Linked DNA regions of Drosophila melanogaster. The protein of the gene in region 1 interacts with the protein of each later gene in a biochemical or structural test. Each region holds a gene or a part of one and is shown in the gene's direction. Other genes may lie near its edges.

The links. The genes of interacting proteins can lie anywhere in the genome.
Region 2: of the proteins of ball (region 1) and baf, one has a biochemical effect on the other in vitro, tested with the Drosophila melanogaster proteins (one study listed by BioGRID).

Annotation. Positions count from the first base shown.
Region 1 is NT_033777.3:26,864,105-26,868,392, reverse strand, and holds ball (ballchen), read left to right. Parts: upstream 1-1,585; 5' UTR 1,586-1,617; intron 1,618-1,737; 5' UTR 1,738-1,868; coding exon 1,869-2,102; intron 2,103-2,158; coding exon 2,159-3,724; 3' UTR 3,725-3,788; downstream 3,789-4,288. Other genes in the region: His2Av (histone H2A variant), read right to left, coding at 1-37, 611-724, 907-984, 1,298-1,300; IntS12 (integrator 12), read right to left, coding at 3,937-4,288. UniProt on the Drosophila melanogaster protein: Serine/threonine-protein kinase involved in somatic mitosis and female meiosis.
Region 2 is NT_033779.5:8,026,856-8,031,526, forward strand, and holds baf (barrier to autointegration factor), read left to right. Parts: upstream 1-2,606; 5' UTR 2,607-2,752; coding exon 2,753-2,878; intron 2,879-2,960; coding exon 2,961-3,107; 3' UTR 3,108-3,710; downstream 3,711-4,671. Other genes in the region: CG7367 (uncharacterized protein), read right to left, coding at 154-386, 453-1,084, 1,159-1,321, 1,383-1,524. UniProt on the Drosophila melanogaster protein: Plays fundamental roles in nuclear assembly, chromatin organization, gene expression and gonad development. May potently compress chromatin structure and be involved in membrane recruitment and chromatin decondensation during nuclear assembly.

The DNA of each region.
Region 1 (4,288 bases):
TCAAGTCCTTCGATGCGTTGCCTGCCAACTCCAGGACCTAAAATGATTGGGAAAACCAAAGAAATTAATCAAAGATTTCAATTGAGGATAAGCAAAAGCTAAAGCAATTTATTTACTTGTATCGCTCATTACCAAAACAAACTTTGAAATCTTTTAAATAAAATTTCTTTAAATAAACATCACAACATTAAAAAAAAAAAACTCAACGGTAAACGTTATATTCGGAAAAAAGGCGGGAAAAGTGTAACTGCCTAATGGCGCAAAAACTCTATAAAACTGTATAATTCTTAGAAAATTAAAAGCGTTATACATTAAATCGAAACTACTGTTATTTAGATTTAAACAACTGATAATGTGCGCCTCGAGCATTTCATGAATTAGATGTACATTTTCATCATTCTCATTCCACACGAAATGTCAATAAGAAAGTGTGTTTTTGAATTGGAACGGGGAAATTCGAAATAACTGTACACAATAAGAAAAGTGGAGAGAATGCAACTGTGGAAAAAAAAATGTTTCCCTTGAATATTTCTGGTAAATGCTGTTTACATTGAAGCGAGAAAAAGTACCACGAGAGAAAAGCGGGAAAACTCGGCGGAAGCACACTTACCTCGGCGGTCAGGTATTCCAATATGGCAGCGGAGTACACGGCTGCAGTGGCTCCGACGCGTCCATGTGACGTAGTGCGGCTCTTGAGATGACGATGGATGCGACCCACGGGGAACTGTCCGGGACATAAGAGGCAGGTAACTGGTTAATTGGCTTGACCGGCTGGCTTGTTTATGTTTTTGTCAACCCCAACCAACCAACGAAGGCGGGCACCCTGTTAGTGTGGTGGAATATGCTCGTTGGCGAGGTGGGTACCGAAAAGGCGCCAAAAACCGAGGTACAGATTGTAAAACTCACCTGAAGACCCGCGCGCGCGGAACGCGATACCGCCTTCGCCTTGGCCTTGCCCGAATCCTTGCCTGCTTTACCGCCAGCCTGCGAATAGACACAGCACAATGCATTTCTTAAAATAACGAATTAAAGCGAATGTGGCACGAGTCGCAGAAGAAAACACAAAATGGAGGCACCGCTGCCAAAGTGAGGTTACGGCCGATTGCCCGCAGCAGCACAATAACAAATGCCCGCCGATTTCGCTGCTCCTTGTTGTTGCGGCCTACGTGGTGTCCACTTTGCGTGCACTTTGTTGTCCGCGTCTCCGCAATCCCCGCATCAATATTTAATTCGCGGGGGGCACGCGCAGTGGGAAAAGCGAGATGCGCTGCCGCTCAAAAATTCACCGCAATATTACCATTTCTGTTCAATCGATTTTTCTGCTGCCTGTAAACTGCGCCTGCTTACGAACGTGACTCTGGGCACTCGGTGATTCTAACTGCCGCGATGGGAATGCCTATTTTGTTGCAACACGAAACCGGAGCGTGCGAGTTGTTTCTACGGAATTCGGTTTCGACTACTTGAAATTTTTTCGGGGAAAAGACGCCGTCAGCGGACGCCAGGGGTGGAACGGAATATATCGATGTGTGGCCAATCGATATGCCCTCACCCCTAGATGGTAGCTTCCTTTTGTGGCCGCACATTGCCAAGTGGCGCCGTTTTGCAGAGCTGTCTATCGTAATATATCCTTGAAATCATAATCATCCTTTTTTATTTTTATGTTTCAATGACTCGGCAACAGCCCTGGAAATACGTCGTTTTTACAAGTAGTCCTACTGGGTTATATTTTTTTTTAAGCTGTCACTCACTTGACAACCCTGAAGGACGCTACTCCCCGCGCCGATTGGCAACCCTGATGGCCCGGCATTTCGAGCGGAATTTGCGAATATTATACTTGGCCGCTATTTAACGACGATCTTGCCCAGAGAATGCCGCGTGTAGCCAAGCCGAAAGCCGCCGCTCCGGCCAAGAAGGTGGTGTCGGCCAAGAAGGCCAAGAGCAAGCTGTACAAGATGCCGGAGAAGGTGAAGGAGGGCACAGTTTTCACCGATTTAGCCAAAGGCCAGTGGCGCATTGGACCCTCGATCGGAGTTGGAGGATTCGGTGAGATCTACGCGGCTTGCAAAGTGGGTGAGAAGAACTACGATGCTGTGGTCAAATGCGTGAGTGCCGCTCGTTTTTTTTTTGTGGAGATTTGCTATTATAATCGTATTTTTAGGAGCCACATGGCAATGGTCCTCTGTTCGTGGAGATGCACTTCTACCTGCGCAACGCCAAGCTGGAGGACATCAAACAGTTCATGCAGAAGCACGGTCTCAAGTCCCTGGGCATGCCCTACATACTGGCTAATGGTTCCGTGGAGGTCAATGGTGAAAAGCATCGATTTATAGTCATGCCGCGCTACGGCAGCGATTTGACCAAGTTTCTGGAACAGAACGGCAAGCGACTGCCCGAGGGCACTGTCTACCGACTGGCCATTCAGATGCTGGACGTCTATCAGTACATGCACAGCAACGGCTACGTTCATGCCGATCTTAAGGCAGCCAACATACTGCTGGGCCTGGAAAAAGGCGGCGCTGCGCAGGCGTACCTGGTGGATTTCGGCCTGGCCTCACACTTCGTCACCGGTGACTTCAAGCCGGACCCCAAGAAGATGCATAATGGCACCATAGAATACACATCAAGGGATGCTCATCTGGGCGTGCCAACCAGACGAGCTGATCTGGAGATACTCGGTTACAATCTCATCGAGTGGCTGGGCGCGGAGTTGCCGTGGGTCACGCAGAAACTACTGGCTGTACCCCCCAAAGTTCAAAAGGCCAAGGAAGCATTTATGGATAACATAGGCGAGAGTCTGAAGACGCTGTTTCCGAAGGGAGTGCCCCCGCCAATTGGGGATTTCATGAAGTATGTCTCAAAACTAACACACAACCAGGAGCCGGACTACGACAAGTGTCGCAGTTGGTTCTCAAGTGCGCTGAAGCAGCTGAAAATTCCAAACAACGGAGATCTCGACTTTAAGATGAAGCCACAGACCAGCAGCAACAATAATCTAAGTCCGCCCGGCACGAGCAAGGCAGCAACAGCCAGGAAAGCAAAAAAAATTGATTCGCCAGTCTTGAACTCATCACTGGACGAAAAAATCTCCGCCAGCGAAGATGATGAGGAGGAGGAGGAGAAGTCACATCGCAAGAAGACAGCCAAAAAGGTCACCCCATCAGCCCGAAACGCCAAGGTATCGCCCTTGAAGCGAGTCGCAGATAGTTCACCACCCAGCCAGAAGCGCGTTAAGACTGAGCCCAAGTCAACACCCAGGGAGAGAGCTACGCCCAAGGCCAGTCCCAAGCCAAGGAGCACGCCGAAGGCCAGCCCCAAGCCACAGACACCAACAGCAGCGCGGCTCCGTACTCCCAATGCCAAGATCAATTTCAGCCCGTCTATTTCGCTGCGTGGACGTCCCGGTGGCAAAACCGTGATCAACGATGACCTCACTCCACAGCCGCGTTCCAAGAAGACCTATGAGTTTAACTTCGAGCTCGACGTTAGCATGGATGCCAACGTAATTGTGAATGTCAAACGCAAAAAGAAAGCGGACCAGGATAAGGCGACGGCGGTTGATTCACGTACACCCTCATCCCGCAGCGCGTTGGCGTCCAGTTCGAAGGAGGAGGCCTCACCTGTGACCCGAGTTAACCTGCGCAAGGTAAACGGCCATGGCGACTCCTCCACGCCCGGCCGTAGTCCGCGGACACCAGCCGTCACTGTGCGGAAATACCAGGGATAGGAGCCTTTGTTTTCTGTATTTTTACATTTGTAACCTCATTAATAAAAACTTGAAATATTTTCTTACTTTTACCTACATTTACTGAATTCGATAGCACGTACATATCTTTAAAAATCATTTATTGAAAATGAATTATTGAATTATTATTATGAATGAACGTTCAGAATTTTATGCGGATTGTAACTTTATACTTAATTATTAGAGATGCTAAATTACTGCTTGGATCTGCGCTTGCTGCTGCTGCCGCTTTCGTGATGCTTGGAGGAACTGCTCTTGGAGCTGGATTTGGTGCTGGAGCCGCTGCGTCGCGATGAGGTGCCACTGCTGTTGTGCTTCTCCATTCCGCCGATGGCGCTAAGAGAAGACGCCGCCGTGGACTTAGAGGATCGTTCTTCCTTGTGCGATTTGGACGACGACGAAGAGGAGGACTTGTGGCCATGCTTGCTGCTGCTACTGCTGCTGGCATTCGTGGAACTGCTGGGCTCGGGCCGGTAGAAGGGTGACGAGGAGTTGGAAGAGTTCGATGAGCGCGACGACGCGACCGACGATTTGGCTTTGCTGGTC
Region 2 (4,671 bases), on another chromosome or scaffold:
AATTCAAAAGATTCTGCGTGATATTTTTCCACGGCTTCTAAACAAACTCACTGATTTTATAGCATGTGCAATGCACGGTTTATTTTATGGGATATATTATAATATTGTTTTGTAATAAACATAAACTATTAGTATGCTGTAAGAGAAGTCGGCTCAATTACTCCATAAATCATCGATACCCAAGGCGTAGCTCGGTTTGTTGGCCGTCTTCACAAAGAATATTCCGCGAGCTTCTCGAGGAACTGGATCACCCATTAGGATCTTGCCGCCGGTGCAATTTTTTCCCTTGAGTTCATCCAGTCCAGAGCAGGGAACACCGTAAAATCCTTTGGGCGAGTTAATAGACTCCGCGTAATATTCATATGAACGTCCATGACTGCAACCAGCTGAAAATGAAAAAGAAATTTCCCAATTCTGCTTGTAAGAAATTGAAACCAATTCCCAAAACTTACTGAAAATCTGCGACAGCTCCTTGCAGCCTGGTTGCGGTGGTCCACCGCCATTGGGATAGAAATCCACCATGCCGATGGGTTTGCGAAAGCCCAGGTATCCGGCACAGCTGTGTATGACATCCACAAAGTTGGCGTCCGTGTCGTCCAAGTGATTCTCCGGACCAATGCAATCCTCGAAAGCGGGACGAGCTGGATCCAAGCCAGTGATGCGGTTTACCCTGTACTTAGTGTACGAACCAGCATAGCCCATGATGTGCGCGCCCAGACTGTGGCCAATCAGATGGATCCTATTCGGATCCGCATCCTTCTCCTCCACCAGCAGATCAATTAGCTTGGCCACCGCCCGTCCCACCTGAACCGTATATCGCGCCGGTGTTAGATAGTATATATTATCCGCCTGATCCTTCCAGTTGATGGCGAACACGTTCACCTGGCCACGTTCGATATAGGCACCACGAATCGATTGAATCGAATTGCTCATGGTGCTGGACTTCCAGCCGTGAACGAGTATCTTGGTGTCCAGTTCCGGATTGAATTTCTCCGCCATCTCCTGCCAGGTGTCTCGCTTGTGGCGCTGCGGAAACTCAAAGTTATTCTCATCTATCCAGAAATCAGCACTGGAACTGGAGTCGCTGGAATAAAAGGATTCAAATTGTGACCACTACGAAAGATAACTCTTCAAATCAAATAAAAAAAAACCACACACCTTCCGTACAGCTCGAACTTGATGAGCTGTGGCAGATTGATGCGGTTTTCGGGCGGAGGTTCCACCAGATAGGCCACCTCAGGCTTACCCTGTCCATTGGGCATGTAGATCCAGGTTTTGTTGTAATCCTCCTGATTTAGAGCCACCTCACCACGAATGCCAACTAAAATGGAGCAGAAACTTATGCTTAGAAGGATGGCTAAATCGAATTGAAAACATTTTACAAAGCAGCAGCACGGGTCGCACCACTTGGGCGAGGGCAGCGAATCCGGTGATGAGCCACTGCACCACCACAAATGTGGTGGACACCTCGTTGCGACACGGATTGATCACATTACAGATGCAGGCCAGCGCATTCGAGGACATCTTGACCAGCTAAACGTCGATCTTGAACTGATCGGACGCCGGATTCCAAAGATCGGAGCTCCCAGCTCCCAGTTTCCCAGCTTCCCAGATCCAAGCTCATTAAGGCGGCTGACGCATTAGTAATCCTCGAAACCGGTTCCAGCCCAGCAATTAATTTGTGGCCTGGAGCGTTTTAATTACTCAGCATCAGTGTGCGCGCGAATCTCGGTCAGGTGAGACAAAGCCACATATGTATATCCGTTTCCCCGTAACTCCCAACTCACCCATCCAACAACTAAGGGCCAGGCCACAAAGCCAGCAAAGCGCTAACATCTCTGTACCAAAGTCGACGTCACTGTGCCACGGGAATCGGGTGTGTGGATTTTATAGCGTACGATAAGCTAGACGAGGGCCAGGTGTCAATCAAGACTGGAGTTTTGGACGGACTGCTGGCCAGGTTGAAGCCTCGGTCGGAAGGGTCTCGGCGTTATCATTCCAACTCAGTTGGGCGTCCCAAGCGCGGCGCTGTTAAATTGGGTTAAGCCCAGTTCATCGGTGCATACTAATCTAAGGTGCGTTGCCCCGGTATTGAAAAGTGGAACAATATAAATATTTGAAAATATGTTCGGTAATTTAGTTAAATAAGTTACAATAACAATTACATTTTTATAAGTGTTTTTATGAAAAATGCTACATCTTATGTACACATAGATTAAATATTATTTAGATTTTCAGCGATGGCTATGTAAATTTTTCACAAATGCAATACTTTAATGCACTAACATTATAACAAATTTCAAATTTATAGAAAACTTTAAGTATTCAAAATCTAAAACGGTCATGTAAAATACCATACATCAAACCATGTAAGCATACATCTTACATGTAAAATATTGCTGGCATTTGACCTAAGTAGATTAAGTAGATTACAAAAATATGTAATCCGCAATTTCAAAGAAACATTTTTGAGTGCATCTTATAAAACTCTATTTTTTGCCAATGCTATGTAAAAGAATAATTAAACTTTGTTAATTGTTGGGTGCGCAAATGAGTAAAGCCAGAATTACGTGGCCTATTACATTGCCTAATTTTGTTTAGTATATCTAGATGTGTTGTTGCATTTTCGAAAATATCACTTGCTGCCACACTGGCTGTGCGTCATTTTCAGAAACGCCGCGAATATTTTGCCATTGAAATCTAGCTAAGCATTGGAATTTCGCAACGTGCAGCAGCAAAGCAAACTACAAACATGTCGGGCACATCGCAGAAACACAGGAACTTCGTTGCGGAGCCAATGGGCAACAAGTCGGTGACGGAACTGGCCGGAATTGGGGAAACCCTCGGTGGACGCTTGAAGGACGCTGGATTCGATATGGTGCGTGTGTAAATACGATGACGCCATGTGCGCAAATAAACAATGCCAGTCAAGTGCTAACGATCATTTCCATTCGTTTTAGGCCTACACCGTTTTGGGACAGTATCTGGTGCTGAAAAAGGACGAGGAGCTGTTCAAGGACTGGATGAAGGAGGTGTGCCACGCCAGCTCCAAACAGGCATCCGATTGCTACAACTGTCTCAACGATTGGTGCGAGGAGTTCTTGTAAGAGGTGGACACACAAGCCATCCGAGTAATTCGATCAAAAGGAATCTGCTAAAGGCATCGGCCAATCATTTTTATTCGCAGTCAACGAAAGTGGCCCAATGCTAGCTAAGCATTTGCCGTGTTCACTGTTAGTATGTATAGCTGTAGGGTGTAATTTAATGTCTAATCCGAATAAATGTACAGTCATGGAAACGATCCTGCATTTGGATCTCTGTTCTGCGAAAAGTACAGTAGGTGTAAAACATTTGTTGCTGGCCGGCGAAGCAGCCTAATGCAGATTTTTATTAATTTGATTAGGGGACAACAATAAGCAACACTATAGAAGGCAGATCGGTTGGCGACTATATCTTCTCTATGTTTTCGATTGTTGGCGAGTAGGAGTCTCTGACTCGCTGAAATAAGCCTCTGTCTTTTTGATGTTTCTTTATCAGCGGGCTGATGTCGCCTAATTTTGAAATCTATTTCTTTTTGTTTTTCGGAAATGATCTTTTATAATGATGGACTTAGAACCTTTTAAATCCCAATCGCTGTTTTGTTTGGGGATTATGTGTAAGCGGTTAATATATATTTTATAATGAAACCCCTTTTGTCAAAATTAATTGTCCTCGAGTAATTAATTAGTACCGAGTATTTGATTATAAATACAACTTTTTTTAAATAAAAATATATATTTTTAAAAACTTATTTTTAAAGTGAGTGGTATTAAATAGGATTTCTTTTCCCTGAAGTGGTATCATATGGTATTTATTTTTGGTCCCGTGGTATTTTTTATCGTTATCGGCGCGGTCACGCTGCTAAGAATTACATTACGCGTGAATACCAATGAAAATTAAGAGAGAAATTGCAAAACACAGCCAAGCGGTGCAATAAATCGCAAAGTAAGAGGCGCAAAACGCGCAAATACCGTTTGCGCGGTTAAAAAATGCAAAAACACCAAACGATAGATTAAACAAAGTGAAATTAACTCGGCTTTGGCATATGCGAACACCAGTGTGCCAGTGTGTGTGTGTTTTTCTTTGTATATAGACTCGCAGAGCGAGACGGCCATACACGACGGCAGACGGGACGGTGCAGGTGCGCGAGTGCGAGCGGGAAAAAGGCTGTGCGGTCACTGCTACTCTGTGTGTTATTTCAGAGTTACAGGCCAAACATTCTGATGTGCGGCCGAATCAAATCGACTTTTTGTGTGCATCGCCCCAGCGTTCGTCTTAATTAATTAGTGATTGCAAGCGGGTGCAATTATGCACAAAATTACGGACTAATACAACTGCCCGCTTCGCGCTCTCTCCATCTCCCTTCCAAATAGTCGTTTGCTCTTCGCACACAAAAGTGTAAACCCTGTGAAAGGTAGCAACAACGTTTCCTTGGAAAAAGCTGTAAATAGTAAACAAAATTGTCAAGTTAACGAGCCAAAGTTATTAAATAAGGTTCGAGTACGTTGGCATCGGCTGCCCAGGCAGCAAAGAAAAACAAAGACGCAGTTCAAGATTCAGCTGGACACTTAGAAGAGTTTAAGAATTGAAGCACAAAAAAACGAAGAGAAACAAGAACCCCACCAAAAACCC